2 linked regions of the Xenopus tropicalis genome follow. The protein of the gene in region 1 binds, or shares a complex with, the protein of each later gene. Links are inferred from orthologs where the notes say so. Each region holds a gene or a part of one and is shown in the gene's direction. Other genes may lie near its edges.

Region 1 (6,203 bases):
ACATGCCTCACCCTGGAAAAACTTACCACCAGTGACAATCTGACTTTGCTTAATGTCTCCAGTAGCAGAGAGCTGGCTGTGTGATCCTTAAGAAGGCTTGAGTACATTCTTTACCTTTGGAAATATCCCCTGCCTCAGTCCCAGACCCAATCATCTAACACGTAATTCAAATCTTTTCCTTGATATGCCCATCATGGGTGGGTGATATTCCCATCATGGGTGGGTGATATTCCCATCATGGGTGGGTGATATGATAATGCAATCATTTGGCCCTAGAACCAAAGATTGCATTACAATGAAGGGTATACAAAAAGTCAGAGCAAGGACCGTATAAATGAGCTCATGTATCCCTTGATCCGGCAGAAAAATCAAGCCTCCCCGATCTACACCTGGCCGATTATTAGCAGATATCGCTGCTGAATTCATGGCTACCTTTACAACTGAGCATACTTTCTGAGCTTGATTATAATATACGGGTCGAAGTTCTCTGATGCTGCTGAGAAATGTGTCAACTAATGGAGCAAATTGTAAAAGAGTCTGCATCTGACTTACTGAGCTGATAGTCTGAATTGCCAGAGGAAGGAAAATTAGTTTATATTATAAGATCAAAAATAAAAAAAGAAACTAACTAGTTGCTGGTGTACTATTTGTAAATATCTAAACTAAAAAAAGTGTGTGGAAAGTAAACAATCCCTTTAAAATTTTCTGGTCCATTTATACTCCAAACAGTTTATGTAAACCAATTTTGCTGTTTTATAAGCAAATCATGGGCAATAAAATGTATATATAACAGTGGCAAATCGTTATCTACATACACAAGATTTTGATCAAAATCTGATCTCCACAGGCTGTAATGTAATGTTGCATAAGATTAAATCGGATGTTTTCCGATCAACATCCAAAAGTCTTTCTAACACCATCAGTTTTTATTTTGTTGGATGCAGTGTTCCCTTATGACAGGCTTATTGTCTTGCATGACAATATTTTCTATATAGTTAACAAATGAGATTTTTGTATCAGTCCTATCATATTTTGACCCACGTGACTACATCTGACTTGTCGAATGCATTTTATTGATCTGACACCATTCGACAAAATCACTTGTGGACTTTAGCCCTATTTCATACTTTTATTCCACAGGGATACATCAACAGAGATATAACAAATTAAAAAGACTATCTGCCTTTATAACAAATTGTAGAAAATATTCATACTTTTTTCCACAAAGATATATATATATATATATATATATATATATAACATATAACATGTGAAAGGGACAGTTTGCCTTCAAAAATGTAGTAGAAGGCATTAAATTTTTTTTTATTTTATTTGTATTCTATATATTATTATAAATGGCTATTAGGGTGGTTTGGTCAGTGTCTTAAGTAAATGTCTTAAATAAAATAGGCAAAGTGGCTAAAATTCCCCACTAAAAAAAAAAATAATCATCTTCTATTTAGTACAGGTATGGGATCCCTTATTCCGGAAACCCGTTATCCAGACAGTTCCGAATTACGGAAAGGCCATCTGCAATAGACTCCATTATAATCAAATAATTCAAATTTTTAAAAATGATTTCCTTTTTGCTGTAAAAATAAAACAGAACCTTGTACTTGATCCCAACTAAGATATAAATAATCCTTAAAACAAGTCTATTAGGTTTATTTCATATTTAAATGATTTTTAGCAGACTTAAGTTATGGAGATCCAAATTATGGAAAAGATCCCATATCCGGAAAACCCCCAGGCCCCGAGCATTCTGGATAACAGGTGCCATACCTGTATTGTAAAAATTGTTAAAGGAACATGTATTTGATTATACACAGATATTTGCAACATATGCCATTGTGCCAGTATGCAAATATGTAAACCTCTTTGCTTTATAAAAAGTTATGTTTGTAACAACACCAGCACGAAGGCAATGAATACTAGGCTTGCACTGAATGCACCAAACCCTAATTTGAGAAATCAAAAAATCATAATTTGTGAACAAAATGTTCTGTTGTCCAAAGCTTTATAGCCACTTTTGGGTTCTGCTGAACTGAATCTAAATGCCTAATGGATATTTTAAATTATATGTTTCCAATATAGGCAAAATATGTAAGAATGTGTTGAAAAAATATGATTATTTTAAACCATTCTTTCTGAGTACTATATTATTTTATTACTGCATTAGATGTGGTACATATAAAAGTAAGCTTGGTGGAAATCATTTTTAAAAATGTGAATTATTTGGTTAAAATGGAGTCTATGGGAGATGGCCTTTCCGTAATTCCGAACTTTCTGGATAATGGGTTTCCGGGTAAAGGGTCCGATACCTGTACAAGGCTAATTCATTTTTTATTTATTGTTTTATTTACAGTACCATGGATCCAGCCCTACTAAGAGACAGGGAGCTCTTTAAAAAGCGAGCCTTGACCACACCAGCTGTGGAAAAACGTCCAAGTGCTTCTTCAGAGTCTTCAAAGAAAAAGAGAGCCAAACTTGAACCTAGTGGCACTTCGGGATCCAAGCCAAGCTTAGGTCAGTAACCCCAATGAATGATTAATTTCTTATTCCCAGCTTTTATTAATCTGCAGAACAATTCTTACTGTGCACACTGTACTTTTGTGTTGGGGCACAAATCAAAATGATGCTGTAGTGAAGCCCAAGGGCTAAATATTGTTGTATTAAAAAGGTGAAGACATATTGTTAAAGCATACCTCCCAACTTTTTGAAAATGGAAAGAGGGACAAAAAGAAATGCCACATTTTTTGACCACGCCCATTTTTGCAACCACACCCCCTATGTCAATTGGCGTTTTTTCACAGCTACTGCACTATTTTTTACCACACAACTTTTTCTCTTGTAATTTTCTCCACCGTTGGAGTCTATAGATGTTTTTTTTAATGGGGAAAATTTCGCTCATCACTAGTGCCTTTCTTTATGTCAATGTAATTTTATGATAAACCTAGTTCTTTGCATTTCTTCTTGCATCTGTAAGTGGGCCTTAGGATTCACTTGACTGAAGTTTTTGTTAAATCTTTTGCTGTAAACATTCTGCTACTGTATGTTTGTGAGTGGGAAAAATAAAGCAAACACAAAATAAAAAAGAACATTATGTATAAAGTTAATAATTCACAATTTAAAGAAAAAACATTACAGTTAGCTGTATGTGTCAGATCTAAAAGCGGTCTGACAGTCAGCACTTCAGTACATTAATTTTAAATTGGCATGAACCAGCTAAGAGCGTTTCAAAAGATTGATGCAGGAGCAATGGACATTGAAACTTCAAAATAATTGCAGTTTCAATGTCCATTAAAATCATGACAACATATTCCAAATGTGGAGAAATTGCATCATTAAAGTGAAACTCCCAGTAGCAAATTCAAACTCACCAATAGAAGCAACACCCATAAATGCATAAACATTTTTCAAAATCTGGACATGTTAACATTTGCAGAAAGAAAAATAATGCCTTCAACTCTGTGTCTATTACCACCAACATGGTGGTAGATCCATAATAGTAGGGACAGCTATATTATGAGAGTCATTAGTGGACTTAGGACATGGGGCTCTATGTTCCCCAGGTCCTAACCATTACAGATAATAGATTCCATACATGTATTTTGATACAGAACAATTGTGGATGTATTGTGCAATTTAATGCACCTTTTTAAAATACTCCTAAAATGTTGGATGCTGCTCTAGCGGTTCAGATGAGAGTTCATGTTGGGTTGATGCTACAAATAAATTTTTTGTAAAGGCCCATTTAAATACATCTACCCACTTTCATAGCTTTTTTTTTTTTGTTCAGATTTCTAAAAAAAAGAATATATCTAAACAAAAGAGGTTAATTTTTTTTACATTTAGTTTCTCTAATATATCAAGCAGTGGCATATCTATTCCCCATATTTCCTATTGCTAAACTTTGCACTGAAACCTCTGATCAGGTGTAAACCACAATTTTATACAGATTGTTTTCTTATATTACTGGTGAAATTTTTTTTTTTTGTTTGTTCTGGTTTTTGGGCATGCCTTTAACATTTTCATGATAAAATTACTTTTGGCTGACCATATGACTAAGTATCACACATATGAGAATTTTTCAGATTGATTAAAAGGTAAATTTTTCAGTGTAGAAGATATGCAAGATATGCATTGCAAGTTTTTTTTTTTTTTTTATGCAGATTTATTATACTGGGAAGTTCTGCATTAAGTCAAATACCTGCAGAATACCCGCAGAGCAGTGTTTTTCTATCTGATTTAGCCTGCTAATCCAAGGGGCACATTTACTAATCCACGAATCCGAATCACGAAAGGGAAAAAATCGTATTGGAAACGAAAATTTATTAGTCACGATAATATCGTATTGGCGATCCGAAAGTCACGAAATTTTCGTACCGAACAATTGTAAACAGCGGTAAAACCTTTCCGATTTTTTCGTGCAAACGTCCGAAAAAGTTGTGCGCTGTACGAAAAAGTTGTGCGCTGTACGAAAAAGTTGTGCGGCGTACGAAAAAGTCGTGCGGCGTACGAAAAAGTCGTGCGGCGTACGAAAAAGTCGTGCGGACGCCCGAAAAAATCGGCAAAAATACGCTCGGAGCGTTCGCATGAACGCTCGAGCGTTCGTGCCTTTGTAAATGTGCCCCCAAGTGTATGGTTTTAGGTTTGCAACATTAGGACTTCTCGCCAAAAACTTAGAGAATTGACAATTGTTACAGTATCCCTAAATGTAACATGTTACGTAAGCATGTGCTTCAGCACCTGTTTGTGGGATGGTCTTTGTGGCAACCTGCATTGATTGTATCAAATTTTCCATTAAAACGTTGTAATCGGTGAGCCAGTCAGTTATTGATGGACTTTCCAGTCTCCTTTCTGAGATTAATTGCTTACAAAGGAACCAAACGGGTTTTACTTATAGGAGACAATTAACAGGACAGCACTGCAATAGAACCCCCCATCTTGTAGGGGACAAGAAAAAATGGTGTAAAATCACGCAAATGCATTATATATTGGTGATATCGCAAAAAAACATTGTAAAGTGCAGAAAAGCGTAAAATCAAGGGATGTAAAAGTTTCATTGTATATTGTACATAGCTGGGCAGTCTCGTGTAACAATATAAAACCCTAAAAAACAACTTTTGGAAGTTTTTTCATACAGTTAGACCATTCATGATTGAACTAGGGTGCCTGGATAAACATTTGAAGAATTCTGTCTGATCTGAAATAAAACCCTTGTTTAACAAAGACCCAATCAACAGGGGTATATAGGAGAGTTGCACAATATGCATTCATCCCAAATATTATCTTTAGTGCAATCTCTTAGATTTTCAGATTGTCTTTTCACTAAACTGTAATCCAGTTTTATGTTCTTTATTTGTATATACTTTTATTTATCTAGTGAATTTCTTCACCAGGCATGGATTCGCAGGGAAGTTCTGCATTTCGGCAAATATTTTTGCGAAACTGCGGAACAATCGATGCATCTGTTACAGAGATGGAAATAACACTGATATAAAAAATGCATTTGGAGTAAAGAAAAAAACAATTTGCGTGTACAATTTATCACACGTAAAATTTGTCATGTGTTGACTTCAATGCATTTCCCAATTTTTCCCGGTTTCACAATTTTTTTGCAGTTATGTGGATTTTTCAGCAAAGCGAAATGGTACAGATTCGCTCATCACTATTGTCTAGTAATGCACTTGCGTGTTTTGCTATTTTCTAATCCCACAGTCCTATAACCCTTTCATTGGTTGGTTCTTGCAGCTAGTTTCTAAAGTCACATTGTACTCCTATTATGCAGAAATCTGTTATCAAGAACTAAAATATGACAGAGCTATTTCTTATAGTGTCAAAGTGAAATGAACAATTTAAATGTTTTTCTAACTAGTTTTTTTTTAAGTAATAAAGAGCTCTCAAAAATCCATATTGGTTGGAATTCTTATTAGCCTTAAGGCATGGTGCATCATTCAAAACAACAGATGCCAAACTTGTACTTTATACTGCATTGGTATGATTAGATGTCAGCTGTGCATTGTGCTAATATTGGATTTTTTTTATTAATGGCAAGGAAAGTCAAATGCACTGGGACAACTTCCAACTTCTGTGGTATCAAGGGCCTACATCAGAGATCCCCAACCTTTTATACCTGTGAGCCATATTTGGTTACTTAATAGCCCACATGTGCACTGGCAGCCTACTGCATTATACTGGGT
Region 2 (5,650 bases), about 8.3 Mb from region 1:
TCACATTCCCCCTCCCTCCTCACCATCTAGTTTTGTAACCAGTGCATGGACATGGGTATCAGGTCCCCCCCATACTGGCACAGAAACAAGATTTTGGCAGGATGCACAGCTTGCCTTAATAACAGTGTCCACAAAATTGAGCCTGCCTGTTTTCTGCAATGGTGAATTCCAGTGCTGAAGGAAATAAGTTTAAAAAAATGTATATAGTGTAATTGAAGTTTATTTTGCTTGACAAACACAATAGAAAACAATTTGTAATTATTCCTTAGGGTGACAGGTCCACTTTAATGCTTACGCCGGCCCCGGGATTCAGAAGGAAGAGGAAACACTCACTGCAGCTACCCCAGGCTGGTCCTCCTGGTAGGAGAAAACCGCACCAGCCCTGCGTAGCTACAAGCAAGTTGTTTCTTCCGTCTTGTAAAACATTTGGCACCTCCAGTGATTTTTACCTTTTTTTCTCCTTTAATGCAAAATATGGGGAGTAGAGTATAAATTCACCTTGGGAGGATGTTGGGTTCCCTGTAGGTGTGCTCCACTACAGGGAAAACACAGGGCAAAAACACCCATGAGTACATGCTCTTGACTTGATAAAATTACCCCAGATTGATTTTACATGCCTAGACATTTTCTGGTAATTATTCTCTTGAGAAATCAAAATAAAGGAACAGTGGAAGATAATTTATTTGAGGATGCCATATACATTTTGGGTTAATGTGGCTGCATTTCACCATTGAAAAAAGGGGCAGAGAATAATATTTTGCTCTAAACAGGTCTGTGTTCTACCGTTCATACAAAGAACAAGAGTCCAAAAAGGGATTTGACCAGGAAGAAGTTTTTGAGAAACCAACTCGTGAAACGTGTCAGGGTAAGATATCTGCATTTGAATATTTTTACCTTTTGGATAAGAAGTTTCATAAAACCTTTAGAAAAATCAAAAATATCCAAATTACTGAGCTAACTAACCCCTACAGGTCCCAGTGCAAAATTCACACCAGGCCCTCTTCCTCTTTGCACAACTTCCCATCCTCATTACTAAAAACAGTGTTTTAGACATGTGTCAAGTCCCAGAGCAGAACTGCAACTTAGTCTCACTCTTCGCAATGGGTTCATGGGGGCGCAAACCCAGGTTCAGCAGCACACCCAGGCTATAAACTTAATTATGCCACTGATAATATAAAAAGATTAATGTTTTCTTCTATGCTCTAAATAAAATCACAGAGTAACCATAAAACTGAAGAACAAGTAGTGTATTGAAGCACCTAGCTGGAGTACTATTTTCACCACTTCTTTGTTTTGGTAGGTGTTCTAGGATTTTGTTTTTAAAGGAGAACGAAACCCTAAAAACAACATGCGTTGAAATTTCATATTTATATAATGAACTTAATGCAGCAGCCTAAAGTTTCAGAATCCCTACAACCGTAATAATGCAGGCCTTCAATGTTGTGCACAGCAGGGGGTCGTCATCTTGGATTTAATGCAAATCATCAAGCAGAAAATGAGGTTCACGTGACAAAGAAGCTGATGCTGCAGGGCCAATTACTAAATTCTGATATAAATTGCACTGGTTTCTGAGCTGTCATGTAATGAGAATCTAACTTAGCCCCTAAGCTTAGGTATCAAACATCAGCACAGAGGATGTGTTCTAAAATGGCAGAAAATATGACTGGGAGCTACTGGGGATATATTTGGATTCACATATCTTTAATGCTTTAAAGGTTTGTAGTCACCTGGGACTGTTACAGAGTCCCGAAGCATAATGTGCAATAATTCTTGCCTACCTATTTGTTAAGCTTTAGTTCTCCTTTAAAGTAGTAAATTGTGATTTTGTTTAAAGGTTCTGCCACATAAAGCTGTTTGGTCTGCGCATAAGCTCAAACTGAGACACAAACACTCTACTGCAGGACTGTACAAAGAGGCATTGTGTTGCAGACGCATGTAAAAATACATATTCACTTTGTTGTGTCTGCACCCAGGCCAACACAGTGCCTGAAATGTAGGGTACATAGTTCATTGCCCCATTTACTCTGCAAGGGGTTAACCGAATGTGCGTTATTCTTGTGATTTTAAATCTCTACTGATTGCATAACGAATATAATAGTGCTATGACTACTTTTTAAATAATAAATGCAATCAATTCCATATCAGATTTTCACCTATATTTCTCAAGATATTTATAGTTTTTTTTTGGTTTTTTTTTTTAATTCCTCCCCCCCAACCCCCACAGGGATGAGGCATGCTATTTATGATAAATTGGATGATGATGGCTTGATAGCACCTGGTGTACGTGTGTCAGGGGATGACGTAATTATTGGCAAGACAGTAACTCTGCCTGAAAATGAAGACGAGTTAGAAAGTACTAATCGCCGTTACACGAAGAGAGACTGTAGCACTTTCCTACGTACTAGTGAAACTGGAATTGTTGATCAGGTCATGGTGACACTTAATCAAGAGGGATACAAGTTTTGTAAAATTAGGGTAAGTTTTCAAGTAATGCAAGTTTTCAAGTAATGTATATTTTGGAAAATACTAAACTCTGAATGGGTCTACTCTTGGCATCTTTAAAGTGGTCCTTTACGCAAACCATTTTTTAAAATTTTTTGTATTGTAAAAAAAGCAATTTTCCAATATACATAAACATTGGTTTTAAAGTGGTTCTAACATGGAAAAATAAGTTTCAAAATATTAATGTACATAAAAAGTTATCTATAGGTCATGTTGATCATTTTTCGTGGATAGGCCTGCTTTTGTAAGTAGTATAGTAGTGTTCTTTGATTTCAGTTTATTCTTCCGCTCCTTAATCTTATTTTTCTTATTTAAATTGCTGCCAATCTAAGAGCTTTAAGACTACACTAACCAAACTTGAACCCATAGTCATGGGTTCAACCTGAATGAAAACATATTTGTTGGATGCCCAAAAGTGGGCAAAGCTATGAACAGCCAATCGGATTTCACCCATTAACTTTCAATAGGGGAATTTAACCTGCTGGCACTCTCACAGTAATAACTCCAGGGTCCCCAAACTCTTCACAGTTGGTCACTGGTGGACTGCAGGTCAAAGTTAGTAAAAGTGGATGGAGCCACCAACAGCCAATCAGATTTCATCCATTAAATGTCATTGTTTTACATTTAAACAAGAAGGAAAGGTAAAAATCACTGGGGGGGGGGGGGTGCCAAATTTTAGGCACCCCCCAGTAACTTTAATAGCTTACTTTTTACCCCGGGCTGGTGGTGCTTTTATTAGGAGAAAAACCGCACCACCCCGGGGTGTTTCCTCTTCCTTATGTCTATGAAGATTCTCATTCATCTAGGTCATGATATACAATATCTGGTAGAATTAAAAAATGGGTGGAGCCACTGGGCAACTATGGTTCACGGTTAGAAAAAGTGGGCAGAGCCATGAACTACCAAATAGATGTCATTCATTGACTTTCAGTGGGGAAATATCAATTGCTGCCATTCTGACACTATTAAAACCGTGGCCCCAAACCTTGCACAGTCTTTTACTTTGACTGTGGTCCAAGGTTAGAAAAACTGGGTGGAGCCAACAACAGCCAATCAGATCTAATTCAGTAACATGTTTTTCAAACCAACATAAAGTTTGTTCTTAAACTTCCCTTTCTAGTTGTTACATGAAGTTCCTAAACCTGTTTGTTTTGCCAACCTGACTATTTTCTCACCCTCAGGTAATGTAAAATTATCGGACAAATACTTTCAAGGCAAAATTATGAATAACATGCAAAGACAATGTTTTATAATGTAAAAAAAAAAAGATTTAATTTCTGGTGTCTTTATCCCTTTAAAGTAATGTATTTGTAAGCATTCAGTTGCTATTGAAAGCAGTATCTGTCTGGCTCTTATAGGATCTTACACACTTATAGGATTACACACACACACACACACATACACACGCACAGAAGGAAGTGCCTCAGCCCATCAGCAAACAGATTACAGGAAGGAAGTTGCACTACTGATGCGCTGCAGATATATGTACTGTAACATAATCCCAATCTAATTGCGAACAGCTCTGAGCTCTCACTAACTTTCATCCCTCCCCAGGCACATGCACTTTGATATGTAAACATGGAAAGCTCCAGCTAGGAGCTGAAACGTCGGACTGAATAAAGCCTTAAGGTGGCCATACACGTGGCGATCTGACGATGTTTCGTAAGACCATCGGTCGCACGAAACATCGTAAGATCCGCCACACACCATTCAGGGCTGAATCGGCAGGTAAGGAGGTAGAAACAATAGGATTTCTACCTCCTTCTGCCGATTCAGCACTGAAGGGAGAATTTTGGTCAGGCGCCTTCTATGGCGCCCGATCAAAATTTTCAAACTGGTCCGATCGGCGAGTCGTCCGATATCAGCAGCTTCCTGCGATATCAGTCGACTCGCCGACATGCCATACACGCACCGATTATCGTACGAAACGAGGTTTCATACGATAATATCGGTGCGTGTATGGCCACCTTAACATCTTTAAGGGCTCTGGCACACGGGGAGATTAGTCGCCCGCAGCAAAACTCCCTGTTCGCGGGCGACTAATCTCCCCGAGTTGCCTACCCCTGCCATCCCACCGGCAAACATGTAAGTCGCCGGCGGGATGGCAGACGCGGCGGGGCGATTTCAGGAAATTGCCGAAAAAGACTTGCAAGTCTTGTGAAAAACCCGCGTGTGCTGTCATTTCCAACCCTGTATATGTACATTTACTGCACTGGCACCCGGGTATCATCTCTTCTCATGGTGTGCAGCTTGCTGACAAATATATATATACACCCCTCACACCAGTGCAGATGTGCTGTGTTTTCAGCTTCACATCAGCCTATTGCTGGAAATGGAACTAAGATGCTTTCTCGATCTTAGTTAATGGGAATGTGTATATATAAACCTTTCACTGAGAAATATATTTACATTGTAGATTTAAATGCTAAAATATAGACTATAATTGTTGTACTTTATATATTGTGTTTTATAATTATATCTTACAATATAAAGTTTGTTTTTGTGCTTGTCATCTTCAGGTGCGTTCAGTTCGGATTCCTCAAATTGGAGATAAGTTTGCTAGCCGTCATGGGCAGAAAGGTACCTGTGGTATTCAGTACAGGCAAGAGGTAATTTATTTATTTTTTTACAATTGCAGACCTATATGTGTGCAGGGGCAAAAGAAAAAAAAATCATGTTACTGAACACTCAGTTGACCTGCCACTGATGTCAAAATATGTAGTTATCCTTGGGATTTTTATTTGCTTTAGTGCCTGTTTTTGTACAGTTACTAAAGTATTTAAGCAGCATGTAGACAAAGTACATGCTGCAAAGAGTTTAAAAAAAAAAACACTACTCTTAAAAATATGAATGTAATTAAAGTTCCCTATAGGTCATATTGATAATTTTTTACTGACAGGATTGCTTTTGTAAGTAATTGTTATTTGAAGTTCCTAAATCTTGACTGTTTTGCCAACCTTCTAATTATAAAGGACTCCTGCTGTACAAAAATGGCTGCCTCCTCATAGGGAGACATGGGGGTCAATTAGAGAATTTAAAGGCATCGGTCAAATACATTTATGGCAATATTTATAAATAGTATGCAAAGCCAGTGTTATGATAGATGTAAAATATTTAATTTCTGGTGGCAGAATCTCTTTAATGCATT

What was found.
Region 2: gtf2e2 (region 1) and polr2b share a complex: the UniProt entries of both Homo sapiens proteins name them as parts of the TBP-based Pol II pre-initiation complex. The link is inferred for Xenopus tropicalis from reciprocal best matches to the Homo sapiens genes GTF2E2 and POLR2B.

The regions. Positions count from the first base shown.
Region 1 is NC_030677.2:83,789,142-83,795,344, forward strand, and holds the start of gtf2e2 (transcription initiation factor IIE subunit beta), read left to right. Parts: upstream 1-2,365; 5' UTR 2,366-2,369; coding exon 2,370-2,526; intron 2,527-6,203. UniProt on the Homo sapiens protein: Recruits TFIIH to the initiation complex and stimulates the RNA polymerase II C-terminal domain kinase and DNA-dependent ATPase activities of TFIIH. Both TFIIH and TFIIE are required for promoter clearance by RNA polymerase.
Region 2 is NC_030677.2:92,084,220-92,089,869, forward strand, and holds part of polr2b (DNA-directed RNA polymerase II subunit RPB2), read left to right. Parts: intron 1-770; coding exon 771-865; intron 866-2,224; coding exon 2,225-2,475; intron 2,476-5,021; coding exon 5,022-5,111; intron 5,112-5,650. UniProt on the Homo sapiens protein: Catalytic core component of RNA polymerase II (Pol II), a DNA-dependent RNA polymerase which synthesizes mRNA precursors and many functional non-coding RNAs using the four ribonucleoside triphosphates as substrates.